Rattus norvegicus: one gene and its partners. The protein of the gene in region 1 purifies or fractionates together with the protein of each later gene. This does not show direct contact. Links are inferred from orthologs where the notes say so. Each region holds a gene or a part of one and is shown in the gene's direction. Other genes may lie near its edges. The genes, in order: Dvl2, Peli2, Plk1, Sqstm1, Csnk1d, Vangl2 and Vangl1.

Region 1 (3,360 bases):
CAAAAGCCACACATTTGGGCAGGTTCTGGATGTGAATTAGAGAGAACTAAAATGCAGAGGAACAGCAGCAGATTACATGAGGACCAGAGGCTTTTATGGGACAGATGTGTAGGACAGAGACGGTTAGGCTGCCTGCCAGCCAGACTCCTAAGTTAGGTATCTGGAGCAGTTGTTGGGAACTGTCCCAGAGGGAATTTGGAGTGGTACTATGAGGTTTGGATCAAATGGGAAGAAGTCTTTTTAGCGGCACTGTGCCTCTACAGATGAGTGGGGGAGGAGGGGGTCTTGGGATAAAATAAGGAGAGTCTGGGATTACTTCACTGTAAAAGCAGAGGAGCCAGGCATGGTGAGGCATGCTAGCCATGCGGCATAGCTAGTTTTGGTGACATATGCCTTTAATACCAGGATGGAGAGGCAGAGGCAGGCAGATCTCTATGAGTTTGAGGCCAACCAGGGATACAGCTCGCTGGCTCTCTCTCTCTCTCTCTCTCTCTCTCTCTCTCTCTCTCAGGGATACAGCTCGCTGGCTCTCTCTCTCTCTCTCTCTCTCTCTCTCACACACACACACACACACACACACACTAACTCTGCTGTGCTTGGACTGGATGGAGATTGGGAGAGACTTGGAATGAGATTCGGAATGGGGGTGACCAGTTTAGCCTTACTAATCCCCTCTCCCTGTTTTTTGAGACAGGGTTTCTTTGTGGCGCCCTGGCTGTCCTGGTACTCTCTCTCTCTGTAAACTAGGCTGGCCTCAAACTCAGGTTACCTACTTCTTCTTCCAGAATGCTGAAATTAAAGGCACGTGCCACCACCATCCAGCTTCTGTGTGTGTGTGTGTGTGTGTGTGTGTGTGTGTGTGTGTGTGTGTGTGTGTGTGTGTGTAAAACCCTGGCTCACTGAGTGCCTCCTGCCTCGGCCTCCCATGTGTTAGAGTTGAAGGTGTACCCTATCACACCTGGCTCTTAGTAATGGCTCTTCTCTCTCTGCAGGGTGGTGAAGGAAGAGATCTCTGACGACAGTGCCCGCCTACCTTGCTTCAATGGAAGGGTTGTCTCCTGGGTAAGGGACTCGTTACCAAGCTGCTTCCAACCTCAGTCTATCTCGGCACACCCCACACACCCCCACCCCCGCATGCTCAGTCACTGGTGGCCCTGGCTTCCCTCTTTTCTACTTGTGGATGCAGTGAGCATTCCTCAGCCTTTTCTTCCTGTAGCCTCGCATACTGGCCCAGGTCTCTGGGACCCTGTTCCCTTTCTTTCTGGTCCTCTTCCTTTACTCTTTTCTCGTAAAGCACTTCCCAGTGGAGCCATGTTTTCTCACTTACACTCCCCTAGCTGGTGTCATCAGAGAGCCCCCAGCCTGAGACAGCGCCCCCTGCCCATGAGTCTCGGACAGAACTGGTTCCTCCACCTCCACCATTACCCCCTTTGCCACCAGAAAGGACCAGTGGCATTGGGGACTCAAGGCCTCCATCCTTCCAGTGAGTCTTTTACGGTTTTGAATCCAGGGGAGGGGAGCGAAGAGGGGAGACTGAGGATCCGGTGCTCTGTCCTTCTGACTTTGGTTGAAACTCTCTCTACCTGTGTAGCCCTAATGTATCCAGTAGCCATGAAAATCTAGAGCCTGAGACAGAAACTGAATCCGTCGTATCACTGAGACGAGACCGACCTAGGAGGAGAGACAGCAGTGAGCATGGCGGTGAGGGGTCAGGCCCTGGAGGCAGGGTAGACTGTGAGCTGGGCAGGGAGGCAAGCCTCAGCATGCCGAGCATGAAGAATGGGAGGCCTGGCTCCTGACACGTTTGTTTATACACAGCTGGTGGCCACAGGCCTGGCGTCCCCTCAAGGCTGGAGCGCCACCTGGCTGGGTATGAGAGCTCTTCCACCCTCATGACCAGCGAACTGGAAAGTACCAGCTTAGGAGATTCAGATGAGGATGACAGCATGAGTAGGTATGGCTTCACACATCTCTCCTCTGCCCGCCCTCGCCCGAGGCGCTCGCCCCTTGTCCTCCCTCCTTCCTAGCCAATCTTCTTGTTTCCTGTGACTCCCTGACCACTTCCACCCCCAAATGCTCTGCTTCTCTCTCAATTGCTATCAGGTTCAGCAGCTCCACTGAGCAGAGCAGTGCCTCCCGCCTCCTCAAGCGCCACCGAAGGCGAAGGAAGCAGCGGCCGCCACGCATGGAGAGGGTGAGGGTTCTTTTGGGAGAAGTAGGCTTTACTTTAGCTGGCCCTCTGACACAGGCTTGTGGCTTATGTCTCTGTTGATGGGGAGCAGTTCACATCTTCCCTGTCTTCTTTCTGCAGACCTCATCCTTCAGCAGTGTCACAGATTCTACAATGTCTCTCAACATCATCACAGTCACACTCAACATGGGTATGGAGGGTCCTGATGGCAGATGGGAAGGAGAGGGTCTCAGGGTTTCTGGGGCTCAGTCCCCTCATATGGCCTCCCTCCACAGAGAAATACAACTTCCTGGGTATCTCCATTGTGGGCCAAAGTAACGAGCGTGGTGACGGAGGCATCTATATAGGCTCCATCATGAAAGGGGGAGCGGTGGCTGCAGATGGGCGGATCGAGCCTGGAGACATGCTTTTGCAGGTGTGTTGACTGGCAGCTGGCTTGGGCAGAGGCTCTGCCTGTTGCACACTGCCTGTGACCCACTGCCCTTCCTTGCAGGTAAACGACATGAACTTTGAGAACATGAGCAATGACGATGCTGTGCGGGTGCTGAGAGACATTGTACACAAGCCAGGGTAAGTCTGTGCTGCGTCTGCTCCTTAGGCCTCGACATTGTACACAGACTATGTTACTCCAGGCAGAGTTGGGCTTTCTAAGCTTGGGACAGCCTGATTTACATAGTGAGTTCCAGACCAGCTAGGTCTACATAGTGGAGAAAAAAAACAACAAAAAACCAGTGCTATAGAGATGGCTCAGGGGTTAAGAGCACTGACTGCTTTTCTAAAGGTCTTAAGATCAAATCCCAGCAACCACATGGTGGTTCACAACCATCTGTAATGGGATCTGATGCCCTCTTCTGATGTGTGTGAAGATAGCTATAGTGTACTCGTATACATAAGATAAATAAGTCTTTAAAAACAAAACAAAAAACCTCCCAAAATTGCAAATCTCGATGGCATGTCACTTCAAACTAAAGCATGAAACAGGTGTGGGTGAGTACCTCAGAAAAGGCCACCCACTGTGTGCTCCTTTCCACTCCCACCCTCCTCACTGACGGTAATTACCGTCTTGGCTTCTTTGGTCAAGAAAACCTTTAATGGTTTTCCACCCATGCCTGAGTCCTGGAACAAGATGGTGTGGTGTTACCTGTTTGAGGCTTCCTGTGAATGAGCTG
Region 2 (3,500 bases), on another chromosome or scaffold:
GTTTAATATCCCATCCTGAGGATTTTCCAACCCATAAGCAAACGTGTCTTCTAGTTCACAGGGGAAGGTGGAATCTACTGAACGGGAAAGGCCCTGTTAGAACTCTTAAGATTCTCTTAAAATTCAATCTCTTGGCAGTGTTGACGTCTCACCAAGGAAAGGAAGACACTGTGATATTGGTAGCAACGTTTAGACTTCCCCGGAGAAGTTTCTTTTTAATCCATTCATGAATTTCTAAGAAGCGCTTTTTAAATTTTTTCACTCATATTCTGAGCTCTAGACTGACTAGGATAAGCGCCCATCCCCTGTTCTTAGGTTGACTGAGTGATGGCAGCTTTGTCCCTCTGTCTCAGAGTAAGAAGGGCTTTGTTCCTGCAGGTCTGTGTTTAAGTCAAGGGCTCTGACTCACGGAATCCAGCAAGCACAGTTCCTTTGTTCCTCTAAAGGTTTGAGACCACCTAAAATAGAAAACCAAGAGTGATTGGCTGTAAAAATATTTCCAAGTGGATCCGAGATAGAAAATCCAACATCATTCTCCAAGAATAGAAAGTTGAGCTTTCTCGTGATATTTAAAATGGGTAGACTAACAGACATAACGTTGCAGTATACAAAATGAGTAAGACCAGGGAGTCTAGGCTATAGCATAATACCTGTAGTCCTGCGTGTTTATATATGTCCGTCTCAGGCTGAGGAGAGAGCTCAGTCGGTAAGCTACTCACCTCTCTACCAAGGGTAGTGAAGTGATGTGTGTAATCTCAGTGCCGGGGGCAGAAACAGGAGGCTCACTGCTGCTGGCTCACAGGCCGCCATGCCAGACTGGGGAACAGCAGGCAATGAGAGCGTCTCAGGAGGTAGACGGCATCTTTGACGATGACAGCCTTAGTTGGGTTCTGGCCTCTGTGTGCGTGTCGGTCTGCACACAAAACACACAGGGCATGTGGGGCGAGGCGGGGGCGTGGAGATCTCACTCACTGTCCATAGTAGGATAAAATGAAGTGGAGTTTTAAAAGAGATCTGGTTGCCGTCTACCATAAATTCTCTCTCCAGTAACAAGAAAGGGCATGGTTAAGCGGAGATGATGAAGGTGACAGGGTTCTGGGCCTCTGTCCCTGTGAACGCAACGTTTTTTCATGCGCGTCATGAGAATGTTTGGTTCCTTCAGGTGGGCAGGTCAACAGAAAGTCCCATCGACTTCGTGGTCACAGACACGGTTTCCGGCGGTCAGAACGACGATGCCCAGATCACACAGAGCACCATCTCTAGGTTTGCCTGCAGGATCGTGTGCGACAGGAACGAGCCATACACAGCACGCATATTCGCAGCAGGGTTCGATTCTTCCAAAAATATATTCCTCGGCGTAAGTACTGTGACTGTACTCTGGTTTCAGGCTCACATCCACTACTGTGATAGGAACTTACTTTGGGGGGAATTTGCTTTGTATGGAGGCTGTAGTTAGATTTTTTATTTATTTTTTTTTTAAGTTTTAGTTTTCAGCCCGAGAAGGCTGCGGTAAAGACCTGAGGATAATTTGAAGCCTGGCCACATGCACCCAGCCCTCGGGAGAAAGAAGCGGGAGGGTTATAAGTTCAAGGCCAGCCTGTACAGCATAGAGAGATGCCGCCTCAGTGAAAAGAAGATCCATAGATTACTCCGTCGTTGTTGTTGTGTTTGCGGTATAAGTTATAATGTACACAGTAATTATTTTAAAGGCGTGTATGTTAGCATTATGTATAACACATTTGCGGTGAATTTGAGAGGTTTATTTCAAAGGGGAAAATGAGCTGCTAAATTTTAACTCCTTAGAGCTGGAAGGAAAGAAACTGTCAGTGAACTAACTGTTCACAGAAAGGCGAGTGTTTGCTGTATCCCGTCCTGTATGTGGTATGTCGTAACAAAGAGAAAGCCCTTCCCTCGTGGGGTATCTTGATAAACAAACCCCAAAAGCTTTAGTGACTATCCTGCCTTGATACAAATACCTCTAGAATCAGAATATTGTTGCAGGGAGTAATTGTCCATTGTGACCTAAAGGATAACATGACAGGAAGTGCCGTGGAAGGCCAGTCCAGCACAGGATGATGTCGCGGTCCTGTGACATCTTGGGCCTTGTTTTCTGTGTCTTGCCCACTGTCTCTGCCGGCACACCAGCCACTTGGGCTTTGAGAGGAGAGGGAGGTCTGCTTCTGAGTGTGCCACCCTCTCCTGAGCTTTCGGACATCAGTGGTCCGGGGTCTTAGGGAGCCTGGGACTGCTCTGATGGGTTTGTACTAAGCAGGGCTTTGATCCCCTTGCCCTGCCTCATGGTCCCGGAAGCAGGAGGGGCGTCAAAGCAGCACAGAAGCCGGAGCAGTCTGTCCCATCACTGTCCGCCCTGGGGACAGGCACAGCCATTTGCGTGGAAACACACCGGCCCCCACATTACTGGCTTAACATTTTTTGTTTTAATTTTGAACCTTTAATAAAATTGAAGAATATTGTTTCTTTCTGTATCCAGATCTCGAGTGTATGTAAAACAGTTGTAGGTCCCTGGGTGAGAGCAGGCAGAAGTGAGGCCAAAGAAAGGGAGTGGAGGCTTAGATGCCAGGCTCGACACAGGGGAGGAGAATCCCTCAGTGAGGAGGTCAGGTACCAGGTATGTTTAAACTCCCGAGGAGAGTGTCATGCGTGGCCAGAGATGAACCTTTCCGCCTCAAACAGTTTAACACCTCTCCTGGCATCGTACCAGCACACTGCACTCCGCTTATCAGCTTTAAATAGAGAGTAAAGTCCCTCACCTCTCTCCCACCTTTTCAGGGAACTTTGTTTCTCAATGCAGTGTTTCTCTGTGTGGCCCCGGCAGTCCTGTAACTCACTCGTTCTGTGGGCCAGGCTGGCCTCGAACTCAGAGAACCACCTGTTTCCGACTCCCAAGTGCTAGGATGAAAGGCGCGCACCACTATGGCCGACTGGCTTTCCCTGTATTTTAGGAGGCTCCGTGCGTTCCCTTAGCAAGCTTACTCTGGTCTGTGGTGTCGTTCCCCAGGAGAAGGCGGCAAAGTGGAAAAACCCTGGCGGGCACATGGACGGACTCACCACCAACGGCGTCCTGGTAATGCACCCAAGAGGAGGCTTCACGGATGAGTCCCAGCCCGGAGTCTGGAGAGAGATCTCCGTCTGTGGAGACGTGTACACCTTGAGGGAGACCAGGTCGGCCCAGCAGAGGGGGAAGCTGGTGAGTTGGGCTCCGCTCTGGAAAATGCACGCAGGCACTTCATGGTGCCCATCGCTTCCCCGCTGATAACGCTCAGAACCTTCGTGTGGGGTAGGAGGTGCCATTTTCTGATCCAGAAACGATCCCCTGAGCTCCGGAGAGTTGGAGGGGTCCGGCTGTCCTCTCCTCGTAGCTGGCCATTTCTGTGTGCACGTGTGTTATTTTTCACTCCCGGCCGCCGTGAGAAGACAGTCGTTAATCGTGTTTATCACTGCAGAATTCATCGTTCCCCATGATACTGTACTAAGCCAGA
Region 3 (3,933 bases), on another chromosome or scaffold:
AGCTTGGGCTTATTCAGAAAGCATTTAGTACAATCGTTTGCAAGGCACTGGGAAAGACAGCAGCACTGCCGTTTTTGCTCAATCCAGCAATAGGATCTTGCTAAGACCCTCCTGGGGAACTAGAGGAACACAGCTTCTAACGGAAGGTATCACTAAAGTGCCCACAGAAACCAGCAGGCAAGTGGGCAAAGAAGATGTCTGGGAATAGTGGCCAGAGTTGACTTTTTTTTTTTTTTCCAGGAAAAGCCACACACCTGCTCTGTGTGGCCACTCTTTTTACATGTTGTAAATCCATTTATTTTCTAAATGAAGGCCGAACTGAACACTTCTGCAGGGCCGACTTGGGTCTAACCACCACCCCCACCTCTGACTAAAAGTTGTCTCTATTTGGGGCTTTGGGCCACACAGCTGAGGACAAGCTTGTATCCCAGGGCGGACGTCTGGTGTTTCTTACATGTCATCTGAATCATCTGAAAGTCTTGTTTGACTGGCAGGTCATGCCTGGAAAGTTTCTTTCCTTTGGGGTTAGCGGAGAGGTAGCTGAAGCTGACCTAGGCTAATCTGTAGTCTTGAACCCACGCCTCTCCTTTGCCTTCCTCGGTAATTCCCAGGTGCTGCAGATGCTACTGGCCCCTGGGTTGTTCAGACGAAGGCTTGAGCTACATTTCAGGGGCTGAGAGCTACTGCCACAGAGGCTGCCGGTCGGTTGCGCTGTGAAGGTGCATCTGCCTGCTAGTCGTGCCAGTGGTGGCGGTGCACTCCCAAGCTACCTCTTGACCTGGAGTTTCAGTTCTAGAAGGCCAGGTCGGGCGGAGGAAGGTGTTAGATCTTAATAGTTAGGAGAAGCCTCTGGAGGAGGCGCAGGTGAACCACATGAGCACGCCCCGGCCGAGGAGCAGAAAGCAGGACCGAATCCTGTTCTCCTAGGGATCTCTACCTAGTTCATTCGTTCCTGGTTTCCCAGGCAATCTAGAGTGCACTCTATCCTCCAGTACAAATTTCTCGCCCGCAAGATCGGGGTTTAAAGGCGGCTGCGCCGTAGAGCACTCCCATGGTGCCGCGCGCTGGGCGGGTTTGTATTTTAAATCCCCGCGGCCAATCAGCAACGCGCAGGCCCTTGTAACGTTCCCAGCGCTGCGTTTGAATTCGGGGAGGAGCGGAGCAGAGCAGGATCCTCTGCACCTACCCGGCCAGGTCCGTGGAGCAACATCGGCATCATGAATGCAGCGGCCAAAGCTGGAAAGCTGGCTCGAGCACCAGCCGACCTAGGGAAAGGTGGGGTCCCGGGAGACGCAGCTCCCGGTGCCCCAGGGGCCGCCCCGCTGGCGAAAGAGATTCCGGAGGTCCTGATGGATCCACGCAGCCGGCGGCAGTATGTACGGGGCCGCTTTCTGGGTAAAGGAGGCTTCGCCAAATGCTTCGAAATCTCAGACTCAGACACAAAAGAGGTGTTCGCAGGCAAGATCGTGCCTAAGTCTTTGCTGCTCAAGCCCCATCAGAAGGAGAAAATGTCTATGGAGATCTCCATTCACCGCAGCCTCGCACACCAGCACGTCGTAGGCTTCCATGGCTTTTTTGAGGACAGCGACTTTGTGTTCGTGGTTTTGGAGCTCTGTCGCAGGAGGGTAAGTGTTTCTGGGGCTCCTACACCTGGAACTTGCTGGCAAAGTGGCACCGAGGTTTTGGAGTGGCCTAGAGGAGTGTTTGGGTTTTATTTAAGCTGTTATGGAAAGGCTTCTAGCGACGGTACTTGGCACTCCGGATCCTGTTGCTATTAGTGAAGGGGCTCCTAGACGCAAGGCTGTGAGTGGGTACAGGAAATGGATGCGTAAATTGGCTAAGGAAGGGTTCCAGGCTTGAGGTGCCGAGGATCTCGAACTTCCGGAGTGAGGCAAGGTCGGGGGAGGGGGCGGCTGTTTGGAGTCAGACCTTAGAGCTTTCAGGAAAGGGAGGGGATCTCCTGCCAGGAGGAAGCCCTGGGATAGGGGATCGAGAGTGGGGTTGAGAGAAGACTCTGTATAAGGGCACTAGTTAAGAGGGTCCGGTGAATGATAGTGACGAGTTTATGGGCAGAGCTATCAGAAACCTGCCAAAACTCTCCACTCCGAGCGCCTAGTTGGCCATATTAAGCTGGCCACCCTACTTGGGCCTCAGTGACCTCTTTCCTCCTCAGTCTCTCCTGGAGCTGCACAAAAGGAGGAAGGCGCTGACCGAGCCCGAGGCCCGATACTACCTGCGGCAGATAGTCCTGGGTTGCCAGTACCTGCACCGCAATCAAGTCATTCACAGGGACCTCAAACTGGGCAACCTCTTTCTGAATGAGGATCTGGAGGTGAAAATAGGTGAGGTGCTGGGCCTGCGGGTGCCTGTGCCAGCCAGCACAAGAGTCGGGAAGGAGGGGAAGGCTGGGAGGAGGGAAAGAGAAGTGCTGCCCTCTGGAAAGGAAATGGAGGGGGGTGTTGCCTTTTTTAGATACATTGCTGTGCCTCAACTCAGTAGTTTTGAACTTGGGGTGCCTCCCCAAATACTCTTTATCCCCTAGCATTGAGCCAGACCCTCAGCCAATTTCTTTTTTAAACAGGAGATGGGGGACATAAGCTATAGGGCATGGCAGGCGGTATCTCCTCAGCTGTCCCCTTGAGTCTGACTTGCCAGTCCCTAGATCCCTGTCACTTCTTCACACACTTGCTCAGCAGCAATCACGAGATCACTTACTTGATTCTCCAGTGCATTTAACTTTATTTATATGAGGGATGGAGACAGGTTAACTTCAAGGAGTCCGTTCTCTCTTCCACTGTGTGGGTTCCAGGATCCTGACTCAGGTCATCATCAGCCTTGGCGGCAAGCCCCTTTACCTCCTGAGCCATGTTACCTAACCTTAACCCTGCTATCTAAAGAGGGGTTAAAGGGCAGTGGGAGGCCAGCTAGGGCCAGTACAGTGTGTGTGTGTGGGGGGGGGGGGGTGTTCCGGGACTATGGGGGTCTCAAGCCACTAAGTTGTCAATGCTCAGGCTTGAAACAGCTGTTTGCAACCTTAGACAGCTGATCTAAGTAGCTGAGCACCCTCTCTTCTTCCCTCTGTCCCAGGGGATTTTGGCCTGGCAACAAAAGTGGAATATGAAGGGGAACGGAAGAAGACCCTGTGTGGCACTCCTAACTACATAGCTCCCGAGGTGCTGAGCAAGAAGGGACACAGCTTTGAGGTGGACGTGTGGTCCATTGGGTGCATCATGTAAGTTGGCAATGAACTTGGGCTTCTGGGCCTCAGCAGGAGTCTCTGGGGCATCTCACCCAGTTGACCTTACCAAGTGGATCTTTCTACCTTACAGAAAGGCTGTTTTAGAGGACAGGCTGCCCCACATGAAACCCTGGTTTTCATGTCAGTCTGGCATAGGCTGTGGGGATCCCTGTAACTTGGACTTGTTTAAAAGCAGTCATAGACCAAAATCATCAACACCTGAGAGCTTGTTAGGAATTCAGAATCTGAGATCTGAACCTGGGTTTAATACAATCCCTGCCTGATTTTCCATGAAAATCAGGAAGCCCTGCTGAGTGCTGATGGGAGAGTTAGGCCAGCAGATAGTCTGGTGGTAAGCAGAACCCCCACCATGGTGGCCTCTGGAACCCTTGGAGAGTCCTCTGTCACTGCAGGCCAGAGCCAGGCAATCCCTGACACCTCGGAATCCAGGTGTTTTCACTTGCATTCTTCCTAGTGCTTGCCCAGCCTTTGGTTGCTGGGCAGACTTGGAGAGCATCCCATCCTTTCCCAGTCAGTGAATCCAGCACAGCTTCCCCAACTCTGGTCCCAAGACAATGACTTCTACATTTGGATTTTCCTTGGAGTTTGAACAGAATTCCTCCTTGTATCCCCAGGTATACCTTGCTGGTGGGCAAGCCACCTTTTGAGACCTCATGCCTAAAAGAGACCTACCT
Region 4 (4,271 bases), about 20 Mb from region 1:
CTATGCAAGCCTGGGCCTAGCCTTCAATTTGAATTCCTCCTGACTCAGCTTCCCAAGTGCTGGGATTACAGATGTGTGTCATCATGCTAGCTAACAGGTCACTTTTGCCACAGAAAGCAGCATTTCCTGGTTTTGGCCTTCGTGCTGAGGGTTGAACCTAAGATGTGACATATACCAGGCAGGTACTCTGTCACTGAGCACCAAATCCTTATGCACCAAATCCCCATTAGTGGTGTCCCCCTGGGTATATCCATGCTAAGCTAAATCCTCATGAACTGTGTCCCTACTAAGCTAAAATCCCCCTGGGTATATCCATGCTAAGCTAAATTCCCATGACCTGTATCCCTACTAAGCTAAATCTCCCTGAGTATATCCATGCTAAGCTAAATCCCCATGAGTTGTATCCTAACTAAACTGCATAGACAGCCTCTTTATTTTGCCCCCCCCCCCCCTTTTTTTGAGAGGCTTCTTGTAGCCAAGGCTGGCTTTGAACTCCGGAACCTCTGGCCTCCCAAGTACTCAGATCACTTTCTAGTTTGAAACAGCTTCACCAAGCTGCTCAGGCAGACCCTGAACTTGGTATTCTCTTGCCTCAGCATCTCAAACAGCTGGGATAACAAGTCTGTGTCACAGGACTGGCTAAAGCCTGTATTTTAGTTCCTAGTTGGAGGGCAAGTGGTCTGATTCCTTTGTGCTCTTTGAAGCCACTAAGGCCTGAGATACATGCTCCTTCCCCTCCGCCCTTAGAGCCTGTGTGCTGTGGTGTGTGTGTGTGTGTGTGTGTGTGTGTGTGTGTGTGTATTATGTGGGTTGTTGTGAGGAATCTCAGTCTTAGTAGTGGTGACTATTGCAGTTTCTGGAGCCCTGGCTACCCCTCCTACAGGGTGGGTTTGTGAGAAGTCACCAGTGCTAGTCCAACATCCAGTCTTTGTCAAATTGGATCAGGCCTAACATATGGATGATGTCCCTTTATTCAGTGAGGGGCTGGTCATGGTGGATGCCTGAAGAGAGAGTAGGGTGGAGGGCTACTACGGGGGACACTAAGTTTGGGAGGGTTGGAACAGTATCCCGTGAAACAGCTTGTTTGGCCAAGGAATGGCTACCTGACAGTAGGCATCTGTGTCGTCTGAGCCTCTGTGCTGGGGCATCCATCCCCCTTGGCTTGGGGACTACACTGCTGAGTCATAAGCAGGCCCAAACCTGGGAGGAGCCTAGGCTCGGATACTTACCGGCCCTTTTCCCATCGAACTGAGACTGAGGCTGGTCTCTTGGGGTCACCCATGCATTCGGAGGGAAAGAAAAAGAGGAGGCGGTGGGGGCGTCTCGCCCCCATACCTGTCAGGGGTCCTATCAAGGGCCCTCGAGCGGCCGCCCGGACAGCGGGGAGGGGCGGAGCTCAGAGAGGTTCCGCCCCCCACGAGGCGGGGCTCCCCCCGTATCCTATAAAAGCTGGGCTCTCGGAGCCGCCGCTGCCCAGCTGTTTCCTCCGTACCTAGTCTGCGGTTATGGCTTCGCTCACGGTGAAGGCCTATCTACTGGGCAAGGAGGAGGCGGCCCGCGAGATCCGCCGCTTCAGCTTCTGCTTCAGCCCGGAGCCGGAGGCGGAAGCCGCGGCTGGCCCGGGGCCCTGCGAGAGGCTGCTGAGCCGGGTGGCTGTGCTGTTCCCCGCGCTGCGGCCTGGAGGCTTTCAGGCGCACTACCGCGGTAAGGGCTCGGGGCGGGGAAGCCATCCTCCCCCGCCGCGGAGTATCAGGTCTGGGCGAGGACGCGATGGCGTGTCCTCTGGCTGCCCGCGGGGACAGGGTGGTCAGGCGGCCGCTCAGGTTACAGCTGACATCCCGCGGTTCGCTTGCTCCTCGTATCATCAGGTGATGGGTTCAGTTAAAGGCCCGGAAGAGCTGGGACCGGGCAGATGTGGAGGAGGGGTGGAGAGCAGTGACGCGGGTAAATAAGCGGCGGGGGCGGGGTGGGGCAGCCCGTGGGAAGGGAGGTAGGGGACCCCGGAACTAGCTCCGTCTCTTGCGTTGCAGTGGTTGATGGCTGCATGGGGTGGAGCTAGAAGTTGTTGACAAGAGACTAGTGGACAAGGCCCTCCCCCTGGGAGGGGATAAGATTGAGATCTCTTTATGGAGGACTGTGGGTAGGCCAGGTTGGTTGATCAGTCTGTCTCTTTTCTGAGATAAAGCCACGTAGCCTGATTCGCCTTGAATTTACGAGTGGTTTAGGCTGGCCTCACTTCAATCCTCTTGTCTCAGCTTTCCAGTGCAGGAATCATAGGGATTATTCTGGACAAAAAATGTTCAGTGTAAGTGAGTTTTAACCTAGGTCCAGTACAATTCACCCAGGTCTTAATGTCCTTCCGAGTCATCTTTGTGCTAGGGCCTCATGTATGTTAGGCTCTCGACTGACTGAGCTACCACCCCGCCCCCCAAACTCCTTGCATTTTTTAAAAAGTGAGTTATATAACTATTATCACATTCGGTTTAGAATCTTTTTTTTTTTTATAAATTTTACGTGTGTGTGTGTATAGCCTAGCCTGATACACACACACACACACACACACACACACACATATATGTATATATATATATATATCCTAGCCTGCAGATGTGTGGTTTGTCCTGTATGAGGTGGTTGAAGACTGTTTGTACTGACATAGAAATATATGGCTGCGCTCCCAGTACCTGTGTGCTAATGTAAAAATGAAAGCAGATGGGTTTGAGAAATGACTCAGTGGTTAAAGCCTTTGCTGCTCTTCCAGAGGACCCAAGTTCTGTTCCTAGCGCTCATATCAACTGCAGCTCCTGGGGATCCCACACCCTCTTATGGCCTTCGTGGCACATGCATACACATAAGTGTGCATGTGTGTATGTGTGTGTGTGTGTCTGTGTGTTCAAGTGCGTACATACATATGTAAAAGTAAATATCAAAAGGCAAAAAAGAAAAAAAACCCAAAAAAACCCAAACCACTTGGCAGCTTGGTTGCATATGTTTGTGATCCCAGCACTAAGGAGGCTCACCTACACAAGTTGGAGGCTGTCCTGTTCTAAGCAGTCTCAGGCCAGGCAGGGCGCAGAAAACCTAGAATTGACAAAAACAAAACCAACAGAGCAACCTCAACCTCAGAACAACTTAGACAGCGTCTGAATGCACAGTGGTTTCTGGTCACGTAGTTGAAGGGAGGGGACAGATGGGCTTACCTCCTTTCCTTCTGAAGCCTGAGGCCTTTGAAGGGCTGGACCATCAGGACAGGGTACTGGCTGGAATCTCCCAGGTGAAAATGGACCTGGCCTACTTACGTGTGGCCTGAGGGCACAAATGGCCCAGTGGTTTGTGGCAGGAAGCTGGACCCTTACACACATGACATATGCTCTGCCTTGTGCATGTACCGGATCTAGGACTTGGGTTAGAACATGTACTCACGCCATATCAGAATGAGTGGCCATCTGGCTGCTTGCTCCAGCACTCAGATTGCGTCTAGAGCCTCTGTAGATGTCCCTTACCATTGGGCTCCCTGTACATAGCAGTGGGCATCCAGCAGATGCTGGGTACCTGTGCTGCCCTTTCGGCTTCTAGTTCTGGGAATGGCACCTAAGTCTTCTGCACGCTCCACCAATGAGCTGTGTCCCTGGCTCTGATATGTTGTTTCCTAAACAATCTAGATGAGGATGGGGACTTGGTCGCCTTCTCCAGTGATGAGGAACTGACAATGGCCATGTCCTATGTGAAAGATGACATCTTCCGCATCTACATTAAAGGTAAAGACTGCATCCAGGTACTTCCCATCGGACTTCCTCTAAGGCTCAGGGGTCTGAGTTGTCTCTAGGACAGAGATGAGTTCTGATGCCTTGGGGTGGATATAGGGGGGTTGGGAGGTGTCAGAGGTACAAAGGTCCTGCTGTGTGGGCCATGGGTGTTGAACAGAGCAGGGCTTGGTACCTCTTGGCCTCCTAAGTGGTTTACCTGCAACTAAATTGGACTCTTGGACTCTCCCTGCAGAGAAGAAGGAGTGCCGGCGGGAACATCGCCCCCCATGTGCTCAGGAGGCACGAAGCATGGTGCACCCCAACGTGATTTGTGATGGTTGCAATGGGCCTGTGGTGGGAACTCGCTATAAGTGCAGTGTGTGCCCCGACTACGACCTGTGCAGCGTCTGCGAGGGGAAGGGCCTGCACAGGGAGCACAGCAAGCTCATCTTTCCCAACCCCTTTGGCCACCTCTCTGATGTGAGCTGGTTCTCTGCAGTCCTGGGGCGGTGTCGGACAGGGTGG
Region 5 (4,058 bases), about 52 Mb from region 1:
GCCAGGAGACTAGGAGACATATGAGCTCCGTGTGTTTCTGCAGGGCAATCGCTGAACTGCTTCTCTTGCCCACGAGGCAGGCGGTGCTGAGGTGACAGCAGATTTACACCCTGTGCAGAGAGCTCTAATGTAAGCATTCCCTTGATCTATGACTCTTCTGTTCCTAGCTGGGTGGGAGTGGGCCTAGAGAAGCATCTATTTGGAAGGTTGTCCCCTCCTGGTTAGGGTGCACCTCCTGTGTGGTGGCTCCTCCATAGGCCCTCCCCAGTGGTCAGAATGGACAGCCAAGTCTTGGAAGCTGGCCTCCGGCCTGAACTTCAGAATTCATGTTTGTGTTTGTCAGGAAGAACATTCAGATCCAATACAGACCAGATAAAAATGTTGACTTGTTCTCCAGGCAGATGGCCCTGGAGAGAGACCAGGGTCGGGACGTGCGCTCTACACTCTCTGTGAATTCAACATTCACCTTCCTGCCCACCCAGGAAGGGGTCCCAGGAAGACTACTTTACTTCCACCCTTGATGTGTAAGAAGCTGGCAGGCAGCAGCAGGCACGTTTTTGCACCATTCAAAGCCCAGGACTGGTGATTCCTACAAAAGCTAATCGTCCAGGTCTGCCTGGACCGCCTTCTCTGCCCTGTTACCCTATCTGCAAAGGGCCTTTCCCGGGGTTTACAAAAGAAACTGCTTGCTGTTTGGCTTCTTGGTATACGTGGTGTGTTTAGGGGTCAGGGTCTCTGTGCCCCAGGCTGGTCTCGAACTCCCGAGAGCTGGAACTACAGGCATTCCTTACCACACATAGCTTAGCTTCCTCAGACTTCTGTTGGAGACAGATAGGAAGACCAAAGTGACCAGCTGTAGTCATCCTTCGGGAACGGCGGATACTGGGACAGAGAAACAGGCCTGGTTGCGACTGCGCAATCCATCAAGTAGCCAAGCCCCGCCCCCGAGCACGGTGGCCCCCGCCCCCTTGGGTTGCTAGGGGAAGTGACGTCACAGCGCGATGGCGGCGGCTCCTTTAGGCAGCTGAAGGGGGATTTAGGCCCGGAAGATCCGAGTCCATCCGCGGCGGGGAGAGGGCGAGCGGGGCCGGCAGGGGCCGGAGCAGCGGCGGCGGCGCTCGGACTGTCCCATCCGCCCCGTATTGAGGCGCTGAGAGCGACGGGGCGACCAGAAAGCGATGGTGAAAGCGGGGCCGTGAGGGGGGCGGAGTCGGACCGGACCCGCAGTAGCGGCAGCAGCGGCGCCGCCTCCCGGAGCGCAGACCCAGGAAGCGGCCGGGCGGGCAGTAGCGAGCCGCACCGCTGCCATGGAGCTGAGGGTCGGGAACAGGTACCGACTGGGCCGCAAGATCGGCAGCGGCTCCTTCGGAGACATCTATCTCGGTGAGGCCCAGCGCCATCGAGCACCGGGGAGTCTTGCGGGTCGGCGGGCGGGGTCCCCGGCAGGCCGAGGCCTGCGCAGGGCCGTAGTGGACACTCGGCCGCTCGGCATCTCCGCAGTCCGAGGGCCCGGCCACTGGCCGTGGCCAGACACCAACGGCCGCTGTGCGAGCGCGGCCGGGGGGCTGGGCGCGGCAGGTCGGGTGGGGTGCGGGGAAGGGCTGGGGGACAGCTGGGCTTGGGGACTGCAGGACCGTGGGTGAAGAGCTCGGAGCGTGTCTGGGGAGTGGTCGGGGACCCGGGAGAGGAAGAACAAGGCCTAGAGGCGGGGGGCAGCGGGCCTTGGCCAGAGGTTGTGGGGTGTCAGAGGGCGTGGGAAAAGGACAGCGGGCCTGGGCCGGGGGGCAGCGAGGAGGGGGAGGGGAGAGCGGGGCAAGGGAAGGCATCGCGCTGAGGGTGGGGCTCGGAGGGGCAGGGCCTGGGCCGGGCGTCAGCATCCTCCCCCACCTAAGGTCACCGCGGTAAACAAAGGCCATGCTCTACTCTGAAAAAGGGTCTGGTACTGTTCCTCATCCCTGCAGTGTGGTCCTGGATGTTTTCCTGCGTGTGGGAGAGATGTCAAAACAATCCAAATGTAGTGTGGAGGTGGGGAGTGTCCCAGTCAGAAATGGGGAAATGACCGGCTGATTTCTAAGAGTTCTTGGGGCTGTCTGGGCCTGCCCTTTTCCACAATGGTATCTCCAGTTAGCTGACCCGCTGAAGGGATCACCCATAGCCTCCTGGTTGCCACCTTAACTCCAAAACAGGACTGAAAATGTTCCCTGTGCCTGGCCTGAAAGGCCTTGGTTTGGCTGGGGTCTTCAGGATATGTTGAGCATCTAAGTTGACTCCTGGACACCTGGAAATCAACAGGAATGAAGTTTTGATTAATGCAGATACATTCAGTGTCAAGATGTTGGCAGAATAGAGGGGAGACAAGCGGTGTGAAAGTTCTCATGGCGGCTTTCAGAACTCTAAAGGTAGACATGAGAATCCTAGACTTGGGGTTAAACTATCCTGGGTTATGTCCACCTTAATATGGTGAAAGGCTATGCATGTATATACGTGTGATTAAAGGTTTGCTTAAACCCGGTAGTTGGGATTTTTAAACTACCCCCTGCATTTATTAGAATTATAAGTTATTCCAAAGCCCCTTGGTACTTGGAGCTTTCTGGTGGTGAACATCCTGTTAGAGGTAACCGTGTTCTGTTGAACAGTAGCCCATCTCCAGCATTTGTTTGGCTGTTGTATCTCTAATGGAGAGTCAGTAAGAAGCAATGCTTTGGGCCTCACCTTTCAAGCTTCCCAAGTTTAACAGCTTGTACTCTAACTCCTCTTAGGACCTTGGTAGCTGGCCGTGTTGGGTGAGCAACTGTCCCATTTGGGTAGCTCATAAGTACGTATGGTGCCTGGTTAGGCTAACCCTGCGATGTGCTACATCAATGCCTTTGAACCTGAACTTCTTGCCAGAGTGGTCTGATGAGTAAAATATGCTTTAGAGAGACTTAGGGTTTGCTTACTTAAATATTTATATCCAAGGAGTCAGCCAGATGCCTTCTCGGCAGTGTTTGGGAGTCAAAAGTGCTGGGTAAATTGGAGCTGTTTGACTTATTTTTAGAACAATAGATTTTGGCAGAAGTTTAACCTCAGGATATAGGAGCTATACTGAAAACCAATCCATTAGCCACCCTTTCGTGGGCATTAGAAAATAGGTATTTTGAAACTTTTTGTTCCCTGAGATTTTGCCAAAAGGTTTTGTTCTTTCTGAAGATTGGTTCTAACAACCATTTGTGCTATGGTGGTCATGTGTCGTTCAGAGATGTAAATCCTTCTCCAGGAGAGTGCAAGCTGTGTCTGGGGTTGCACCTTACTCAGTCACATCCCTTCTGCCCCACCTGGTTCCTACAGCCCTAAAAAAGAGAAAGAAAAAAATCACCTCCATCCGGAGCAGGGGGACGCCAGGGACAGGACAAAGGGCTGAAAGACTGTCTTGAACCAGCGAATACACATCCTGGGCAGGGTCTTCTACAGTGTGTAGGTGGTGGCTGGCTTAGACATAGGCCTGGGCACAGCAGCTGATCATGTGAGCTAACCTTTTCCAGAAAGTTTTAATTTGGTGACTCCTCTGTTATGCTCCAAGATGGACACTGGGTTAGGGTTAGAGTCACTGGCTTATCTGTTATGGTATGAGTTTTGTTGTTGTTTTGTTTAAGACATGGTCTTACTATGTAGCACTGGCTGGCCTTGAACTCAGAGATCTACCTTGTGAGTGCTGTGTGCCAACATGCTGGCCTCACAGTGTGCTTTCTGTCAGGGATTAGGCACTGCCAGTCTTCTCTCTTTCCACTTGGCTCTCATCACTGTCCTTTCAAGCTACCTTGGGGAACTGAGCATGAACTGAGCGATTCAGAGTAAGATAGGCTAGAAAAGCAGGTCTGCAAGACAATTGGAGACAGAGGACCTGAAGACAGCGGATGGGTTGGCTCACCCATACCATACATAGGTCAAGAGCCACGTGAGTATGAGTGGAGTTGGATCCTCATCTTGAAGTCTGTGTGACATGCATTCTGGTGCAAGTGTAGTTGAAAAATATTCCTAAAACTCCTCTTTGGTATTCCTCATAAGGCACTTTATTCTTC
Region 6 (3,500 bases), on another chromosome or scaffold:
TGGCTTGTTCTAACAGGAGCCGGCTCTGTCTGACTTTTGCCACCTACAGAGAAGACTGGTTTTCAGGCCCAATAGGATATATTGGCCCAATAGGATATAACACCTCAGCTGTTGTCCCTCAGGTGTCCTCCATTTTGCTTTTTGAGATGGTATCTTTAGTGCTCTGGAGCTCATCAAGTAGGCTAGACTAAGCTGGCTGGGTTCCAGGTCCTGGGGACGTGCCTGCCTCTGCGTCCCTCCTTGGATTTTTTGGGGTGGTGTGGGGAGGAGACAGGGTCTTAGTGTTAGCCCTGGCTGGCCTGGAACTTCCTATGTATACCAGCCTGATCTGCGTATATCCTTCCACCCGAGTCAGGTGTCAGCACCCCTGTGCTATTGCGACTGAATAGAAATGCCATGGCACCCTGCCAAGCCTGATGACCTGAGTTCAAATCCCCAGAATGAACCGATATGTTGGAAAGGGAGAACGGACTCCTCTAAGCCACATAGAGGGCGTGTGCATGCCCCGACCCACATAAATAACACGCTACTGCCACCACTTCTACTAACGCCCTTTCCCTTTAGTTACATGTATTCATTTTTCACACAGTGTAGTGTAGTGTGGTGTGGAGCCTTTTCCTAGGTCTCATGGGATACTCGGCCCTTTCTGCAGCTTAGTTCCTGAGTGCCATTCTGGATTTGATGCTAGGCTCATTCACTGTAAGTCCCTAGCCTGATCCCACTCAGTACGACTGTTTCTTGCTGCTTGTGGGCTTCTCTGGGCACTTGGCTTCACATGGACTTCTGTTACTTCCGGGAGAGCACAGAGGCCTGATCTCACTCTGGCTGCCGCAGTCAGAGCCGGTGGGTAGAGGGTAGGATGAGCAGTGGGCACCTGGTCCAGATACTGTCTGTCCCCCAGGCTGGTGGTGGCTGTGGAGGAGGCCTTCACACACATTAAGCGGCTGCAGGAAGAGGAGCAGAAGAACCCCAGGGAGGTGATGGACCCCCGGGAAGCAGCCCAAGCCATCTTTGCATCCATGGCCCGAGCCATGCAGAAGTACCTTCGCACCACGAAACAGCAGCCTTACCACACCATGGAGAGCATCCTTCAGCACCTGGAGTTCTGCATCACCCACGACATGACACCCAAGGTAGGCAGGCCTGCTGCTCCCAGACCTTGCTTGTAATCTTTCGTATTCACCACTCTTTCTCCTTCCTGTTCTTTGCCTCTTCTTGGGAATCTCTTTTCCTGTCCCCATCCCATCTGTTTTGTCTCTGTGGAGCAGAGGAGGAGGCAAGGGCCAACTTCGGAACTATTGGGGGATTTCAGAGGCCTGTTTTCTCATTTTTAGCAGGCCCTAGGATTTCTACCCAAGTCTTACAGCTTTACCTTCCTTACCCCTTCATCCCCAAAGGGAAGCTTTTACCTCTGCTTACTTTTAGCTATTGGCTTTCCTCAGCCCAGTTGCCTGCTCCCTAGAATGGCTCTCATGGAGACTTTTTTGTTGAGTGGGTGATAGAGAGAGTGAGAGGCTGAGAATGTAGCTCAGTGGTATGGCAGGCCTGAGTTCTTGATTTCAGTTACGTGTGTGTGTGTGTGTGTGTGTGTGTGTGTGTGTGTGTGTGCGCATGTGTGTGTGCGTGTGCGTGCATGTGTGTGTGTGTGCGCGTGTGCGTGCATGTGCGTGTGTGCGTGTGTGTGCGTGTGTGTGTGTGCGTGTGCGTGCATGTGCGTGTGTGCGTGTGTGTGTGCGTGTGTGTGCATGTGTGTGTGCGTGTGTGCGTGCGTGTGCGCGTGCGTGTGCGTGCATGTGTGTGCGTGTGTGTGTGCGCATGTGTGTGCATGTGTGTGTGCGTGTGTGTGTGCGTGTGCGTGCATGTGCGTGTGTGCGTGTGTGTGAGTGTGTGTGCATGTGTGTATGCGCGTGCGTGTGCGCGTGCGTGTGCGTGCATGTGTGTGTGTGTGTGCGTGTGTGTGCATGTGTGTGCGTGTGCGTGCATGTGTGTGTGTGCGTGTGCGTGCATGTGCGTGCGTGTGTGTGTGTGTGTGTGTCTGTGCGTGCACGCACGCACACACACAGTGTTGCACTTGAATCTTTGCTTAGCCCACTTCCCTCCTAGTGTAGACCTGCATGGTTCTAGTCATGGCAACTGTATGGAAGGGAAGGAGGAGAGAAGGAAAAATGAGGTTCAAGTTACCCTGGGCACAGTTGGGCGAAGGATGGCGTGAGTTCTGGTCCTGGCTGGAACTGTATCGCTTCGGTGCATGTCAGCATCCCCATGTATACGTGAAGCGTCTCTCCAGCTCTCTTCTGCGCTCACATTTGAAGATACTAGTTCATGTGTACAGTATGAGCTCAGACACAGCCTAGCTATCTTAGAAAGCTGCGTCTCAGATGAAGGGTGGATGGGTGGAAGAGATACCAAAACAGTATCTTTTGTCCTCCTCAGGCCTTCCTGGAGCGGTATCTGGCCGCTGGACCCACCATCCAGTACCACAAGGAACGTTGGCTGGCCAAGCAGTGGACATTGGTGAGCGAGGAGCCGGTGACCAATGGGCTTAAGGACGGCATTGTTTTCCTCTTAAAGCGCCAGGACTTCAGCTTGGTGGTGAGCACCAAGAAGGTGCCCTTCTTCAAACTTTCCGAGGAATTCGTGGATCCCAAGTCACATAAGTTTGTCATGCGGCTGCAGTCGGAGACCTCTGTGTGACTTTGCAGCAGCCCAGAGGGAGGGATGTGGGGGTTCCTGCGGAGTGGGAGGGGCTTGGTTCTCAGGCCCTGACACATTTCTGCCATCCTACTTCCTCTTGCTCTTGCTTTGTTTTGTGTTTTTTTTGTTTTTTTTGTTTTTTTGTTTTTTACTTGAATTAACTTATCCTGTACCCAGTCTCCTCCCCTATCCCTCAGTTTCCCCATCTGGAAATCTGGAGAGAACACCTTGCTTTAACAATACCTGGGAACCATCCTGCCCCCTAATTTTGTATCACTCCAGGCCCTGCAGGAAACAGTGCCTAATAACTACCCCCAAACCCCTGTTCTTCCCCCCAGAATGTTCCCTGGATGGAAGCCCCTTCCAAACGTGTTCAGGGCCTTCCTGATTGTACCCTTGCCTCCTGAGCTCCAACTTATAAACGTATGTTCTTAGAGCCATGCTCTCTAGTGGCCCCTGATAGGGTTTCTCTTGAAGGCACAGCTCTGACCCCAGAGAACCATGGTGCCAAATTCCTGTGGGACAGCAGCTAACGCTGTCCCCCATCCTCACCCTTAGCCCCAAGTCTCTGGGCACAATGTACCTGTGACATAGTCCCAGAGTTAGGATTCTCCTTGTAGTCTTGCTCTCCAGTGTTACAGCTGTAGTTCCTGGTATACACACACACACACACACACACACACACACACACACACACACACACACAGAACAAGGGGAAGTGTGGTCTTGTACCCAGGAGTCTTTACTGCTGTTTCTGACTTGTATGGTCATGTGATCATAGGCAAATGGAGGTAGAACCTCTCTGA
Region 7 (3,500 bases), on another chromosome or scaffold:
GCTCCCAGCATGCTCCTTGGGTATGGATTATCACCTGGGCTCCAAAATGGTAGCTTAGAGTTCTCACCTGCTGAGTGTCCCAGACAGCATTTGAAGGATGGGAGCTCCTGAGGATCTTAAGACTCGGAATATCTTAGCTGAAGCCTCATTTGAAGGACTCTGCCCCATAGGGAGAACATTGCTGTAACATGAGAGACCAGTTCCTTAGACCTGGGACAGGGTCCTCTGTGTGTGTGTGTGTGTGTGTGTGTGTGTGTGTGTGTGTGTGTGTGTAATGAGAAGCTTTGACCTCTCATTCTTTTTTTTTTTAAGATTTATTTTATTTATTATATATATAAGTACACTGTAGCTGTCTTCAGATACACCAGAAGGGGGCATCAGATCTCTTTACAGATGGTTGTGAGCCACCATGTGGTTGCTGGGAATTGAACTCATGACCTCTGGAAGAGCAGTCGGGTGCTCTTAACCACTGAGCCATCTCTCCAGCCCGACCTCTCATTCTTGATCCCTGTGAGCAACATCAAACTTCCTACCTTTCAGGGAAGGGGCTTCTTAATTTCCTTCCTTCCTTTTTCTTCCTCCTCTTCCTCCTTCTTCCTCTTCCTCTTCATTTTCCTCTTCTGCTCCCCCTTCCTCCTCCTCCTCCTCCTCCTCTTCTTCTTCTCTTTCCTCCTCCTCTCCTCCCTTTTTCTCCCTCCTCTTCCTCTTCCCTCTCTTCCTCCTCCTCTTCTTTTTTGTAAACTAAGGGACAAACAGGAAAAGCTCTGTGTACCCCAAACCTAAATCTCAGTTACAGGTTGTAACTTTCTCCTCTTCCAGCTACTGGCAGGATGGTATGAGGGGAATGCCAGAGCCTGGGAGAGGGGAGGAAGCCATTAACAGTGGGAGACATGGGGAGGGTAGGAACCAGCAGATGCCCCTGGGAGTGCTACCTTGATTTACAATTGACCTGACTCAAATAGACTTCTCATTTCAGCCCCACTGTATTCCCTGAAAACCCCGCATTCATGTTTGCCCTCATCTCACAGCATCCAGCGAGCAGCCTTGGTGGTTCTGGAAAATTACTACAAGGACTTCACTATCTATAACCCGAACCTCCTAACAGCATCCAAATTCCGAGCAGCCAAGCACATGGCTGGCCTGAAAGTCTACAATGTAGATGGTATGTGCTTGAAACCATTTGTGGGGTGTGGGGGTCACAGATCCTTTTAGTACATTCGCTTCTACCTACTCTGTGCTTCCTTACAGTCTTTTCTCGCTTCAGAACAATTTCTATTTGTAGTTTAAATGTAGACAAGCATGTTTTCTAGGGGAATGTCAGTTTACAGTCTGCATATATGGCAGGTCCATCCATTTGGAGATTTTGCTATTGGAACCTGTAGCTGTGTTTCCTGCCTCCCGCTAGGAACGGTGTAGATTGAAGGTCCTTAGGAAAGGAACACTTTTCAAAGTCTGAACAGTCTACCCAAAGACTGAGGGTGCTCTCAAAGGGCATTAGGCCTAGAAATGTTGAGAGCTCCCATAACTGGGAGCTCCTCTGTGGCTTCTCAGTCCTGGCTCGGAACGGGAGTTGAATGACAACCAGAAGCTGGAGCCAGCCTCACCAAGTCGGAGCCCAGATTCATTCAGGGTGTCGGGTGCTCAAGTGTGAGAAACAGGACTCCCTGTCACGTCTTGCTGGGCACCTTGGCTAAGACAAGAGCTTTGCAGACTCCTGAAGACATTCGTGTTGTCAACAAGTCAGCTGGTTTACATAGGTGTCAGTTTTTGGTAATGGTATCCCGTCTAACTTTTTTTTCCAAATTTGGCTATGTAAGGTGTATAGCTGATAAGCCAAACCCTTAATGGGAAAACTTAGCTTACCAAGTCACCCAGAAGAAAGAATTAGGCCCTGGCTGTGTCTCTGCGATAGGCTAAGCCGAGTCATGCTCAGGACCTCTGGGCCGTTTCACAAATGGGGTGCATTGTGGTTGCTGGGCTTTGGTGTTCGGGGCAGTAACACCCGGCTTAGCTTGTTTTCCTGTGTGTGATCACTGTAAGTGTCCCTTGACTTCTTTTTTCTCTGTCTGTCCTTGTTCTCCCATCCTGCCCATTCTCTCTCATTGTCTGCTGCATGCGATGTCCCAGCTGCCCTTATGGCCAAACTGAAACTTTGTGTAGCAGATGGTAAGTGACCTCTTCAGCACGCTCCCCGGCGGGTGTTGTTCTTGGCCGGTGTTTTCAGGGGTGAGCAGTCTGTGGCTCCTTCAGAGTTCTTTCTCCATCTCCCTATCAGACTGGGGTTAGAGCTCCTGGCTGCTGTGATTGTGGAGTACTGCGCAGGCCCAGGGAAGTTACTTTTAAGATCTCTGTGTGCTCTGTAGCGGGATGGGTGGGAAAGAACCAGCAGACCACAGACCCTGGTGCTGGTTCTCTGTCCAGCTTCCTGGCGTTTGAGGGTAAAGCTGTCTGTATTCTCCTTTCATCAAAGGGCCCAGTAACAATGCCACTGGTCAGTCCCGAGCCATGATCGCTGCAGCAGCTCGGCGCAGGGACTCCAGCCACAACGAGTTGTATTATGAAGAGGCCGAACACGAGCGGAGGGTGAAGAAGCGGAGAGCGAGGTTTGTGACCCTGCACGCCTGGGCCCTCCTCCCGCTGGACATTTTATTTTCACTTTTTTTTTCTTTTAGCTTCCAGAATTAATTTTCTGTTTGTACGCATGACCTGTATGACTGTTTACAGACCACTTTACTCTGACGTTTCTAAGACTTTGTATGAAATCACCAGCTCTAAACAGCCATCACAGGTCCTGGGCCCACTCACAAAGCTTACCGCACAGTCTGTGGGTCTGAGCCCCGGGGGTGGTGGTAGTGGATGGGAGGGTATGTTGGGGGTGGGAACGAATTCCCTGGGGGCTTCTGTTGCTGCCCTTGGAGGGGGCCAGCCCTACCCATACTCTTTCCCATGGGAACTGAAGGTGACAAAGGTGGCTTCCCTTAAGCCTGCCACCTCATTCTTCCTTTTCCTGAGTTGCTGGGGGGAGGGTTGGGGAAAGGTGGAACAAGGGGGCTGAAACTCTGTTTGCTTCTTCTTTCTTTCTTTCTTTCTTTCTTTCTTTCTTTCTTTCTTTCTTTCTTTCTTCCGCCCAACAAGGCTTTGAATGCTCTGTATAACTGAAGATAATATTGAACTTTTTAAAAAAAAAAACCTTTTTTAAACATCTCTGTGTGTGTGTGTGTGTGTACATGTGTGTGTATATGTGTATGTCCGTGTTCACATCCATGTATGCCACAGTGAATATGTGGAAAGTGTGACTTTTGGGGATTGGTTCTTTGTCTTCTACCACATGGCCTCCAGAGGTCAAATTCAGGTTGTCAGGTTTAGCCCAAGCACCCTTACCCTGACCCATCCTGTCAGCCCGCCTTCACCTTCTGAGTGCTGGAGCACAGGCATGCGTCACCGTGTGGGGCTGGGGACTGGCCCCAGGTCTGGCGGTACTGAACAAACCATCTGCCACC

What was found.
Region 2: the proteins of Dvl2 (region 1) and Peli2 purify together in Homo sapiens (affinity purification with western blotting; 3 studies listed by BioGRID, with this or other methods). This does not show direct contact. The link is inferred for Rattus norvegicus from reciprocal best matches to the Homo sapiens genes DVL2 and PELI2.
Region 3: the proteins of Dvl2 (region 1) and Plk1 purify together in Homo sapiens (affinity purification with mass spectrometry; 6 studies listed by BioGRID and IntAct, with this or other methods). This does not show direct contact. The link is inferred for Rattus norvegicus from reciprocal best matches to the Homo sapiens genes DVL2 and PLK1.
Region 4: the proteins of Dvl2 (region 1) and Sqstm1 purify together in Homo sapiens (affinity purification with western blotting; 3 studies listed by BioGRID, with this or other methods). This does not show direct contact. The link is inferred for Rattus norvegicus from reciprocal best matches to the Homo sapiens genes DVL2 and SQSTM1.
Region 5: the proteins of Dvl2 (region 1) and Csnk1d purify together in Homo sapiens (affinity purification with mass spectrometry; 3 studies listed by BioGRID and IntAct, with this or other methods). This does not show direct contact. The link is inferred for Rattus norvegicus from reciprocal best matches to the Homo sapiens genes DVL2 and CSNK1D.
Region 6: the proteins of Dvl2 (region 1) and Vangl2 purify together in Homo sapiens (affinity purification with mass spectrometry; 4 studies listed by BioGRID and IntAct, with this or other methods). This does not show direct contact. The link is inferred for Rattus norvegicus from reciprocal best matches to the Homo sapiens genes DVL2 and VANGL2.
Region 7: the proteins of Dvl2 (region 1) and Vangl1 purify together in Homo sapiens (affinity purification with mass spectrometry; 4 studies listed by BioGRID and IntAct, with this or other methods). This does not show direct contact. The link is inferred for Rattus norvegicus from reciprocal best matches to the Homo sapiens genes DVL2 and VANGL1.

What each region holds. Positions count from the first base shown.
Region 1 is NC_086028.1:55,225,286-55,228,645, forward strand, and holds part of Dvl2 (segment polarity protein dishevelled homolog DVL-2), read left to right. Parts: intron 1-992; coding exon 993-1,062; intron 1,063-1,337; coding exon 1,338-1,483; intron 1,484-1,591; coding exon 1,592-1,701; intron 1,702-1,818; coding exon 1,819-1,954; intron 1,955-2,103; coding exon 2,104-2,194; intron 2,195-2,311; coding exon 2,312-2,381; intron 2,382-2,466; coding exon 2,467-2,606; intron 2,607-2,684; coding exon 2,685-2,761; intron 2,762-3,360.
Region 2 is NC_086033.1:24,005,484-24,008,983, forward strand, and holds part of Peli2 (E3 ubiquitin-protein ligase pellino homolog 2), read left to right. Parts: intron 1-1,162; coding exon 1,163-1,357; intron 1,358-3,019; coding exon 3,020-3,208; intron 3,209-3,500. UniProt on the Homo sapiens protein: E3 ubiquitin ligase catalyzing the covalent attachment of ubiquitin moieties onto substrate proteins. Involved in the TLR and IL-1 signaling pathways via interaction with the complex containing IRAK kinases and TRAF6.
Region 3 is NC_086019.1:186,146,525-186,150,457, forward strand, and holds the start of Plk1 (serine/threonine-protein kinase PLK1), read left to right. Parts: upstream 1-1,133; 5' UTR 1,134-1,217; coding exon 1,218-1,625; intron 1,626-2,173; coding exon 2,174-2,342; intron 2,343-3,087; coding exon 3,088-3,232; intron 3,233-3,873; coding exon 3,874-3,933. UniProt on the Homo sapiens protein: Serine/threonine-protein kinase that performs several important functions throughout M phase of the cell cycle, including the regulation of centrosome maturation and spindle assembly, the removal of cohesins from chromosome arms, the inactivation of anaphase-promoting complex/cyclosome (APC/C) inhibitors, and the regulation of mitotic exit and cytokinesis.
Region 4 is NC_086028.1:35,034,951-35,039,221, reverse strand, and holds the start of Sqstm1 (sequestosome-1), read left to right. Parts: upstream 1-1,471; 5' UTR 1,472-1,505; coding exon 1,506-1,704; intron 1,705-3,662; coding exon 3,663-3,758; intron 3,759-3,999; coding exon 4,000-4,226; intron 4,227-4,271. UniProt on the Homo sapiens protein: Molecular adapter required for selective macroautophagy (aggrephagy) by acting as a bridge between polyubiquitinated proteins and autophagosomes.
Region 5 is NC_086028.1:106,751,889-106,755,946, reverse strand, and holds the start of Csnk1d (casein kinase I isoform delta), read left to right. Parts: upstream 1-1,258; 5' UTR 1,259-1,307; coding exon 1,308-1,383; exon of another isoform or gene 1,384-4,058. UniProt on the Homo sapiens protein: Essential serine/threonine-protein kinase that regulates diverse cellular growth and survival processes including Wnt signaling, DNA repair and circadian rhythms. It can phosphorylate a large number of proteins.
Region 6 is NC_086031.1:86,997,771-87,001,270, reverse strand, and holds the end of Vangl2 (vang-like protein 2), read left to right. Parts: intron 1-901; coding exon 902-1,133; intron 1,134-2,433; coding exon 2,434-2,694; 3' UTR 2,695-3,351; downstream 3,352-3,500. UniProt on the Homo sapiens protein: Involved in the control of early morphogenesis and patterning of both axial midline structures and the development of neural plate. Plays a role in the regulation of planar cell polarity, particularly in the orientation of stereociliary bundles in the cochlea.
Region 7 is NC_086020.1:192,284,599-192,288,098, reverse strand, and holds part of Vangl1 (vang-like protein 1), read left to right. Parts: intron 1-1,028; coding exon 1,029-1,162; intron 1,163-2,127; coding exon of another isoform or gene 2,128-2,166; intron 2,167-2,470; coding exon 2,471-2,603; intron 2,604-3,500.